Drosophila melanogaster: one gene and its partner. The protein of the gene in region 1 interacts with the protein of each later gene in a biochemical or structural test. Each region holds a gene or a part of one and is shown in the gene's direction. Other genes may lie near its edges.

Region 1 (5,213 bases):
CTCCTCTCGTTCGATTTCCAGTTGCATTATGGTTTCGTCCAGCTGCTCCTGCTTTTCAGTCACCTGAACCCGTAGCTTTTGGGCCACCTGCTCGGCATTCGAGGAGTACTCGCTGAACCTGTCATCCGCTGCCGTGAGACGAGTCTTGAGATCTTTTACCTCTGTTTCCAAATTTTGCTGAGAACATTCGGTTTATTGGTTTACAAAATCTCCATCAATCAGTTTTGGATATTGAGGGTAAACATATATATGCGTGCATTATTGAAGGAAAAAGTTTACCAAAAAGTTTGCCAACGATTAAATCAGTTTAATACGAAAAGGAAAACATTTACAATCAAAAACTACATAATAGGTGTGGTTGGAAAATTCCAAGTAAACCAGGAGCTTAATTGGTAGAGTTAGTACTGCATTGTTGGTTAAATTAGTGTTACAAGTCCCAATGGAAATCGTCAGAATCGGGAGGCATACTCACAGATTTATTGCGCTCAAAGAGGACTTGCTGCTCGTTCTCCTCTCGGCACTCTTTCAGGGCCACACTAAGTTCATCGATTTCCTCCTCCAGCAGCTTGACCTGCAATTAAAGTGCATAAGTATTGGCACATAGGTATTACTATCTAACCTACCTTATCGTCCCGCTGCTTTATTTCATCTTTGGCTTTTTCGAGTTCGAATGATACCTGCTTGCGGCTTTCAATGGCATCGTCGCGGGATTTAAGGGCCTTTCGCTTTTCGGTGGTCTCTTCGGCCACTTGCTTGGATAGACGACTAACTTGGGTTTCCAGCGCCAGATTCTGGCCACTCCACGAGCCTTTGATGTCCGACAACTGCAGATGGGCCTCCTCTAAGTGCTGTTCCAGCAGTTTATGTTCCCGGATAAGGGCTTGCACTTGTTGCTCGGAGTTCAGTTTGCCCAGAGACTCGAGTCGCGACTCCTCGACGATTTTCATGCGCTTTTTGAGGTGCCGGTTCTCCTCCTGTACAGCCGCCAGTGTTGTGGTCAGCAGATTCTTCTCCTGCTGTGTAGAATGTCGCAGTTGCTCTAGTTCGTCGCGTAAATCTTCGGCCACGGATTCAATGGGACGCAGACGTTCTAGTTCCTCGCTCAAGGACTCGATTTGCTGGGTCTGCTGGCGCATGAGACCCATGCGATCCACCGACTCCTGCTCCCGAAAGCTAAGCAGATTCTTCAGCTTGTCAATCTCGATTTGCTGTAGATTCTGAATCTTCTCCTGCTCCTCGCAGTATATGTCCTTCTGCGTCTGGGCCACACGCACACTCTCTAGCAGAATCTCGTTGGTCTTGTCCACGCGCGTCTTCTCCTCCTGCAGCTGCTGCAATCCCTGCGTGACGGTGGACAGCTTCGTGGTGAGCTCGTTGCACTGACTTCGCAGCTCGCACAATTGCTCCGACTGCGAAAAGAGTGAAGGTGTTTGTTTATCCGTGTTTTTGTTTAATGTGTAAGTATACACAAATAGACTGTTTTTTTTTCGCTCAGTTTACCTCATTGTAGAATCCGCCACCGCCCACATCATCAGCTGAGTTGGAATTAATGCTAACGCGGCGACTACGTAGCCGGTAATTGTTGTTGTTGTTGCCGGGATAACGTTGATTGGCTGATTGGACCACATCATCGCCAGTTTCCTCCTTGATCTTGTTTTTCAGTGTAGCAAACATTGTTAGGTTTTTCGAGGGGGGAGCTTTTTCTCTGTTGCGCTGCTCTATTTTCTGTATGTGTACTGCCCCCGACTGAAGTTGGCCTGCTTGTGGCTGGGGCTGACGAAAACGTGCCCACAGAGCGTTTATAGCATGGCGTTATATCTGGTGGCCGTAGTGTTCTACTTGCTTATCAGGCGAATGCTAATTTTCGTAAACCGTCGATGTTGTTTACCATCGATAAGAATCGACTTTGCAGTAACGTAAATCGACGAACAGCGTTGCCATACCGCTGTGTTAACTTTTTCCCGTTGTACGGCAGTGCTGCCAGTGCGCATGGCAGCATTTCGATAACTGACGCCAGAAACAGCTGTTCCAGCGCGCTTCATTTTCCAAACAGAAAAAAAGTGTAATTGTTAGCGTCCTTTGTGAAATTGTCAAGTGTTAGAATTATTGTGTGCGAAAGTTAACTATTTGAGGACCTCCCATGGACCAGTCTAAACAGGTTTTGCGGGACTATTGCGGCGACGGCAATGGTACCTGTGCATCGTCCTTGAAGGAAATCACCTTAATTGAGACCGTGACCAGTTTCCTGGAGGAGAATGGCGCCGCCGAAATCGACAGAAGGGTCCTGCGCAAACTAGCCGAGGCACTGTCCAAAAGCATAGACGAGTAAGTCCAAAACACTAGCATAAACAATAGCTTACCAATAAGACTTGTGTGGCAAATCCATCGAAATCCCTGGCAACTGCGAGTGCGCAGCAGATGATCGCCATGTGACATGGTGATCGTGCCCACTGTGATCGGGAACTAACGCTCTCAGCTGGAGCTCTCCCGCATCCGTACTGCTCGGCCCCATAGGGGGAGGCATACTCACAAGCACAGGCGTACAATGGGCGTATTACCCACCCCAAAAAATTCGAAGAGAGGAACAATAATACATCTGCACTGAAAAAAATTTTAAAGCTAAATTTCCATCAATATTTATTTTAAAATGTTTTTTAAAAACATTAAGTGATTTGGATTAATTTACGATTTTAAATGAAATAAGATTTGTAAGGTACTCTTATAAGATGTACTTTTATTTTTAAGATTGTATGCTTCATCACTTTTTCAAATGCTGAATAGAGTCAAAGTTTAATACATTTTTTTATTATAATCTTTAGATTTACTATTACTATTCTGATTCCTAATGAAAATGAAAATTTAAAAGAAAAAGAATTGGGAACACAAATGTAATCCCTTAAGTATACAACAGATATTTCTGTATTCTATTCGTAGCCAATGAACTGAGTTTGCTGACCGCTTTCTCGCTGTGTACGGCATTGGGAAATGCGTAACATCTGCTGAGCGCATTTTCCTTTTTCCTCGCAGATGAGCCCGAGTTTTCCGCCCGTTTGCTGCTCTGCCTTTGGTCGCTCTGAATCGGTCGCATCGCAGTTTCAGTCAGTTATGTTCTAGCTTTCGGTTTATTTGGACGTGCAGAGAGCGTTTTTCGGTTTATTTTGCTTGCCTCTCGGCTATCAATCGTGCCATATGTACATACATACATATCTATATACTCACTTACCCATATATACATACATATATGTAAATAGAAACAATCAGCGGGTCAAGCGTTGTGCGGGTGTGTGAGTGATTGATTGTACATACATATCTGTACATAAGTGCAATTGTTTATATTGCACTGCGAGATACAAAAAGTGATAGATTGATTTGTAATTTATTGCATTCGTTGCTGTGGATAAGCGATTAGTGGGATGCTGGTGGTTCTCGGATGAAAAACAAAAAACCAAATCGAAATACACAGATATATAAAGTACAAAGTGTGCTCGGATTTACAATAAATGTAATATATACTTAGAAATACTAAAGATATCTGTGCTTGTGCCCCCTGATGCTGCTGCTGCTGCTGTTGTTGTTGTTGTTCGTTTGTCGTTTTTGTCGCCACGATGCTGCGGCTAATTTTAGTCGGAGAAAAAGTATACGAATTAATTTGTTTGTGAAATAGAGCATTCCATGGCTCAATCGACAGCCGCAACAACCTATATCATTATCTGCGTTTTCGCACTTCCTGGAACTCTGAATTTCGTCACAAGTCGTCTTATCAGACTGCAGTTTCGTCGTATGCTCCATGTGTGTGTGTGTGGGTTAGTTAGTTATATACACATGTGCATTCATCAGGGGTCATGGACTCGTGGAATTAACCCCTATGGGGTAAAAACCGAACAGAGCACCTCTTTTGTTGCCCTTCCAAAACTGCAACGCTGACTTCCCTACCCTCGAAAAACAAAGCATCCTGGTTGGTAAAGTACAGTATCGTTTGTATGATATGTAATTTGAGGGATCATAAGTAGAATTTATCATGCAAATGGCTCATTTAGTTTTGTTTTTATCGCATTCATTTAAATTTAAATAAGGAATTAAAAAAAAACACACTTTAGTCATAATTTAATTGAGTAATGTTATATTTTATTTCTTATTCAATTGAAATTTCCTTTCTAATTTTGAACAATAAACATCTTGCATATTTTATGAATGTTTTGATTCGATTTATGAATATGAGTGACATTTGACATCCTGTTCAAAAGCCTTCAAGATTCAGTGCGTCCTTCGTCATATGGTTATTGTCTTAAGATGCTTTCCTCGCATATCACTCGCTATAGTCTCGATCCACTTCTGTTTATTGTTATTGTATTTCTTTGTTGATTAAGGCAGGCGCCTTTGTGTGTCGTTGGCCATAGTTTGACACCCACTCGAGGCGCGCCAGGCAGCCAGGTAGATGAGTCGCGTCTGCGTTCCAGGTGAGGTGAGAATGGGCTGTTAACTGCAGTTTACCTGTCGATGTGAGGGCCCTAAAATGCATTCGCGGCAAAGTTCAGGTGCTAAACGAAGAGACACATGTTCCGGCACGGTTCAAAATGCACACCTGTTGTTCCCAGTGACCAGGTCGCTCAGCTGTCGGCTTAAACCATTGATTTTCATTACCACCATAGTAACCAGCGATAGCCGAATGCCAAAACAAAACAATGAGTGAAAATGTTTGGCAGAATTTTCTTGTCCCGTTCACAAATTGCTGTTTCTAATGCGGTCGCCGTTTTGCTGTTTGCTCAATTCCCAAAATAAATAACGACCAGAGGCGGTGCGTGGTGCAGTGTATGTGGTGGTTAGTATCTTCAACGATGCGGTGGCCCACATGTGCCGTCGTCCAACCCCCCGTCCTGTTGGGGATGCATCCCGTCCGTAGGAGCGCCAGACTCTTTGAAGACTCTTCTTCCGCTCTACGGCTGAATGCTCCTGATTGCTGCTGCGCACGTCGCATCGCCCAGCAGCCCATGACTCATGGCTGCCCGTCCCTTCGAAGACGACATGGCGGATACGTAACGAAGTTTGGCGTGCGCCGCGAAAGTATTTAGGGAATAAAGCCAAGAACAACAACAACAACAGCAGCCGCAGCAGCAGCCAGGAATGACGTGTCCACCCCGTGTAAAAGCAACTAATTAAATCTCAAAATTAGAGTCGCTGCAAATATCTACAGAAGAGAACTGAAGGAAAGTGAA
Region 2 (5,234 bases), on another chromosome or scaffold:
TTACATCACCAGCGACAACTAGATGCTATATCCCTTGCGCCCAGCTATGTTTCCGTCGATATGGAAGCTGCCCAGCATCAGCAGCAATATCGATGGCGTTCCCAGTCACACATAGCGCCCTTAACTCCTCCACAATTGGGCATAATAGAGGTGAAATCGCACTCCAGCGATATGCTGGCGGTGCCTATGCCACCCAGCCGCTATCCGCCGCACGATGAGATCTCACTGTCATCCTCGTCCACGACCATTGAGAAGAAGCCCAAGCCCAAGCAGTGGCTGGAATCTTCGCTAGATGGGCCAGCTGTTATCAGGCAGATGGATTCACAGCCCCACAGTCCAGCTGGGAGTAGTAATGGGAGTAGTAATCCCGGCGCAGCTGCCATGGTTTCAAGTAAACCCCGCGCTAAGCTCTCCTCGCAGTCCATGTCGGTAGCGGGTCGTCACTATTCCATGTCCAACCAGCGACCGACTCCGAATTATCCCAGTGCCAGCTATGCGGTGAATACCAGTTCGAAAGCCCTGCTAAGTCAATCGACTTCGTATCTCAATGCAATGGAGCAAACTTTGGGGATATCGGTATCGTATCCGCTGGAACCTCTGGACATACCAGCACTGCGAAACTTACCACCCAAGCCAAGTCAAATGCAGCAGCCAACGCCGCCGCCCAGACCGCCACCCGCAAATCAGGCTCATACTCAGAACCAGAACCTAAGTCACAGTGGTAATGGCAGTTCAAGCGGACTTGCTCATGGGAATGCTGTCCAAACAGCGCTTGTGTCACCGCCAGTAACAGTGGCCACAGCCAGTTTATCGCCGGAAATTCGCATCGAGTCGCCCAAAAACATGACCGTAGTTCAGCAGGCCACTTTCCAGCCGTACAAGGAAGTGACGAAACCCTTCGAGATGTCCGATTTCTACAAATACTCCACCAAGTTTAAGCAAAAGGAGGGCGGAAATCCTAATTGACCTATAAGGTTGTACGGAATTCTCATGCACTTTCACCTTTTAATGTGATTAACTAAACTAATTTTGTAGCACTGAGAAACTACAAAGCAAAAGCAGCTCAAACTATTGGACTCCTTTCGAATTTTAAGTTCGTTAGCCAAATTATTTAGGATCAAGAAAATAACAATGCTCAAAAGATCTGCCAAATTGAAAACTGACGTATTGAAAGCAATTTATCGAACGACATTCAAATTTTGTATTGAATTTTTAAAGTACAAAAAACACAGGACAATATTATCCCCGAGGGGGACAGAAATCGCCTTACAACAGGATGCCTAGAAAATATGGAAATATTTTATATAGTTAACAGCATTTATAAACAAATAACTGACTAGCTAACTAATAAGTGTATAAAGGATATTTACCCTAATCGAATGATATTTTTATATGAATATACCGATTGGATACTGATATATTCACCGAGTTTTCTTAAGACTAACTACCGACAAGCAATAACAAATAGATAAAAATAAATATTTTATATTAAAATATATGCGAGTGCGTTTTTATTGATATTTAAGCATTCAAATATTTCGTTGAACTTCCAATATTTTTCTCAAAACATTATTAATGCTCTTGTAGCATTTCAGATTTTTTGAATAATTGAAATGAAAAGAAAGCTTTATATTTCCCTAGCCTATAAATAAATGTCTCATTTATACCCATAAATGTGTTCTCACTTCCTTAAATCATTCCTTATCGAATATATCTTGTAGTTCCTTAATCTCTGGTTAAAACTTATTTATAGAACAACCGATAAAACTTAATTACTTTCCTCCCCTTTATCTCTCGGATTTCTCTTTGTTTCTCTCGCGATCTGGTAGTAGTACATTGAATTCTCTCTTTTGGACTCTCCCCAACTCAATGCCACTGCAACAAATTTTGTTTACGATTGATTATTTTTAAACAATCTCTTGTTGTGCTTCACTGAGCATTACAGTATCTGGATGGGGAGAAAAAGAGCGTGGATATCCCCCGATACCCCAAAAATATAAAGACTCTTCGCAATGGATTTGGTTCTCAGTTGCATCGCGCTCGCTATTACGTGCAACTGTTTCAGATCGGTTGCACTATTGGTTTTTTTTTGTTTTTAAGTTTCAAATTTGTCGGTTCTTTCTCCCTCGAGGAGCATTGAAAATCACATAATGATAAATTAAGAGTTCACGCTTTAAGTAGCTAGTTTCCCCCATTGTGTTGTCTTCGTGTTAAACTTTAAATTAAAAAAATATCAAATTTTACGTAAAGTCTCCAACCTAACCTACAAAATTATTCGGTTCGTTGCATTCGTCTGTGTTTGTAAGCAAGTCAACCCGAAAAAATTCTAAAATATAGTGTCATCAAAACCACTACGTAAAAACATCAACAAGAAAATGGATCGCATTTGGGCCACATCTAGAATGCCTATAGATATAGCCAACTGACAGGCGCAAGTGTCAACAAAGGCGGCCAAAAAACAGGGAATAGGCCATAAATTATTTGGTTCAAGTGCAGTCACCATGAATCTGTACACTATATACGATTGGGTAAGCCAAACAATCAGGGGTATCCATTAAAGTATTAACCCATTTGGGAGCCGAACATCCATCATCTGTGCTCTCGGATTGTGCATAAAATCCACAAAATGTGGGTTGAATGCGCCTTGATATGTGTGTTTTCAATTCATTACGATCCACAAACAGAACATGTTGTTTTTCAAGTGTGTTTACAAATGAAATCGAAATTGAATGCGCCTTTGAACTTTCGATTAGAAGACCACAAGGCCCTTCCGAAATCTGTAAACAATCTACAGTGAAAAATACCCAACGGATTAGGAATTTTAAATAATATTTTATTTTTTAAATAAGTATTATATTTTATATCATTGAATAGCATACTTTTTATTATTATAGAGCAACTTTTTAAGTGAAAATTATAATTGAATTGTCCACATTATGCGGTTTTAATTGCTTTGTTAAATAACTAATACATTTATTAGTGAATCTTGGCTACTGTTTCCCTGTTTATTATAAACATCAATATTCATATTTTTGAAAAAATGTCTCGCTACAATAACCGATTCGCTTATCGATTTTGTTGAGGAAAGAATGTTTCTGCAACTTGTTGCTGAATAAATCTAATACATGTACCGCAATACGATGAAAATTTTTGGATAATGTATACGAAAATGATCAAAAATTTTTAATATTCATCGAAATGATTAATGGCTCGAATTTCTTATATTAAATTGTTATTGTATACAAATTTTAAAATAAAATTTGAACTTCAAGTTTTTAAACTTAACTTAAAATGTTTTATGATGATTATAGAATAATTATAAATTACTAACTATAAAAAATGAAATATAACAGTTTTTGAGGGACATTAATTCTGATTATAATACTAATTCTAAGTACTTATATATATAGCTACTTCAGTATCAATCGCAATCGCGAATCGTAAAACAATAGTTCTAAATGCTTTTAAAACTACTCTTTTGCATTTATCACCATCTTCCAAACAAATTTATGTTCCACACACACATTTTGTTTATAAATAAAAAATGGGAGCGAACATTCGGTGCACGGAACCGCTTGGAACCGCGTTGCAAATTTCCGCGGCACTCGCTCTCAATCGCTCGGCCTCTCCCGTGGCTGCTCTTTTCCAACGCTTTTCTTTTGATTTTCCTCGGATTGAGTGACTGATTTCAATTGAATGTCTCTTCGGGCGTTTTATTTATAAAAGAACCTGCACTGCAGGCGGTCGCGTCGTCGTTTTTCGGTTTTCCGCACATTTATAGCTCTATAAAGATAAGAGTGCAGTGTCAGTGCCTGTGATCCCATAAAATTGTTTAAAAAAATCTACGAAACATTTGCATATACGTAGAAGTTTGCACAATGTAACCCTCAATAGCCATTGTCGATATATGGACTTTTTAAGTGATTGTAAATTGCATTTAATTGAGATAACTTCTTCATCGCTGAATTGAATCGAATGAGTGGCGGGCAGCGAAATGGGGAAATTGCATGTGAGTTCAGTTATTGTCCGCAATGTGATCTTTAGCATCGCCCAGTGACATTTGCATCACTCGCCAGCCAAAGTGTGTTAATATCATTCGAAACCGCATGATAATGAACCAAATTAGTGGATTTTTTTTGCATTGCAGTGTACTTAGAGAAAATTATACAGTATTTACCATATTTTCTATAAATTTAGTTACGATACGATCTCATTCTTAATTGTTCTTGAATATTATTTATTAGAATTACTATTTGAAAGAATAATGCTGTAAAAGATTTGGTTTGTAAATCAAATAAAATGCGGGTATAGGATATAAAGCAATTCATCATCTACTTCACAATCATATAAATTGTGTGTTCATATGTAAATTTTTATATAAAATATGAAAATGTTAAATGCAAGCGTTTAAGAATTTATATTAAACTAAACCCTTTAAATGAAATAACCTTTCTTCATAGCAACGCAAAAGAAAATCCTTTCTCCAATCCGAATTTATTTTTGTCCAACATATTTCACTGTCAATTCTGCGCCAGGCAAAGCTATTAATTTAATCATTTTCGCCAATATGCGTGCCATTATTGAGGGTTTATCGACAATATCTTGTGGAAAATCAAAGGAAAGGCGTCAGCGCCATTAACAGAGACGTTGGGCTAGGTCCTTCGCCCCTTTTCCCGTTCCAAAGGGGAGTGGCATTGTTGTTATTAGTCGCCGAAGTGCAAAAACCTCAGACGATCCAACTGAAATGTGTGTCACACCCAAACAACGGCCCACAAAAGAGGTCCAAACTATAGCAACAAATTGAAATGTTTGCAAGGAATGTAAAAGACTTTCGTTTTCGTTTTTCACGCACACTCAAAGAAAATCCGTTGTCATGGTTATAGGTGCAAACTTGTTATCCCGATATCCTTATCGCTGTGCTGGTACTTCCTGAATGTGTTGTTGTTGTCTTTGTCCTGACAAGTTCAAGGACGTTCAAACCACCATGTGGCCGGGAATTGGATAACTTTTTCACAAGCATTTTCCGCTAATATTGTGAAAACTTTGTCAAGCGTTACGGCCTGACCCACATGGCGTATGTGTAATATGGAAAATATATTTTTCAGTCGTTCAAAATACAGTACGGACTTGAATTGTATGTAAATTACAATTTAAACTTAATATAAATGGGAAATAACTCTTTTTTTTTTAAAGCAAATATTGCAATAAATATATTTTAAATAAAATTTAAAAAG

What was found.
Region 2: the proteins of cnn (region 1) and Plp form a complex in vitro, tested with the Drosophila melanogaster proteins (one study listed by BioGRID).

Annotation. Positions count from the first base shown.
Region 1 is NT_033778.4:13,447,286-13,452,498, reverse strand, and holds the start of cnn (centrosomin), read left to right. Parts: upstream 1-2,023; 5' UTR 2,024-2,140; coding exon 2,141-2,325; intron 2,326-3,098; exon of another isoform or gene 3,099-3,502; intron 3,503-5,170; exon of another isoform or gene 5,171-5,213. Other genes in the region: Golgin97 (golgin 97), read right to left, coding at 1-177, 473-571, 624-1,409, 1,501-1,674. UniProt on the Drosophila melanogaster protein: Core component of the centrosome throughout spermatogenesis. May participate in mitotic spindle assembly and the mechanics of morphogenesis through an interaction with microtubules, either directly or indirectly. Is a target of several homeotic genes.
Region 2 is NT_037436.4:15,087,086-15,092,319, reverse strand, and holds the start of Plp (Pericentrin-like protein), read left to right. Parts: upstream 1-2,126; 5' UTR 2,127-2,501; coding exon 2,502-2,528; intron 2,529-3,766; exon of another isoform or gene 3,767-3,994; coding exon of another isoform or gene 3,995-4,009; intron 4,010-5,234. Other genes in the region: sstn (stepping stone), read left to right, coding at 1-966.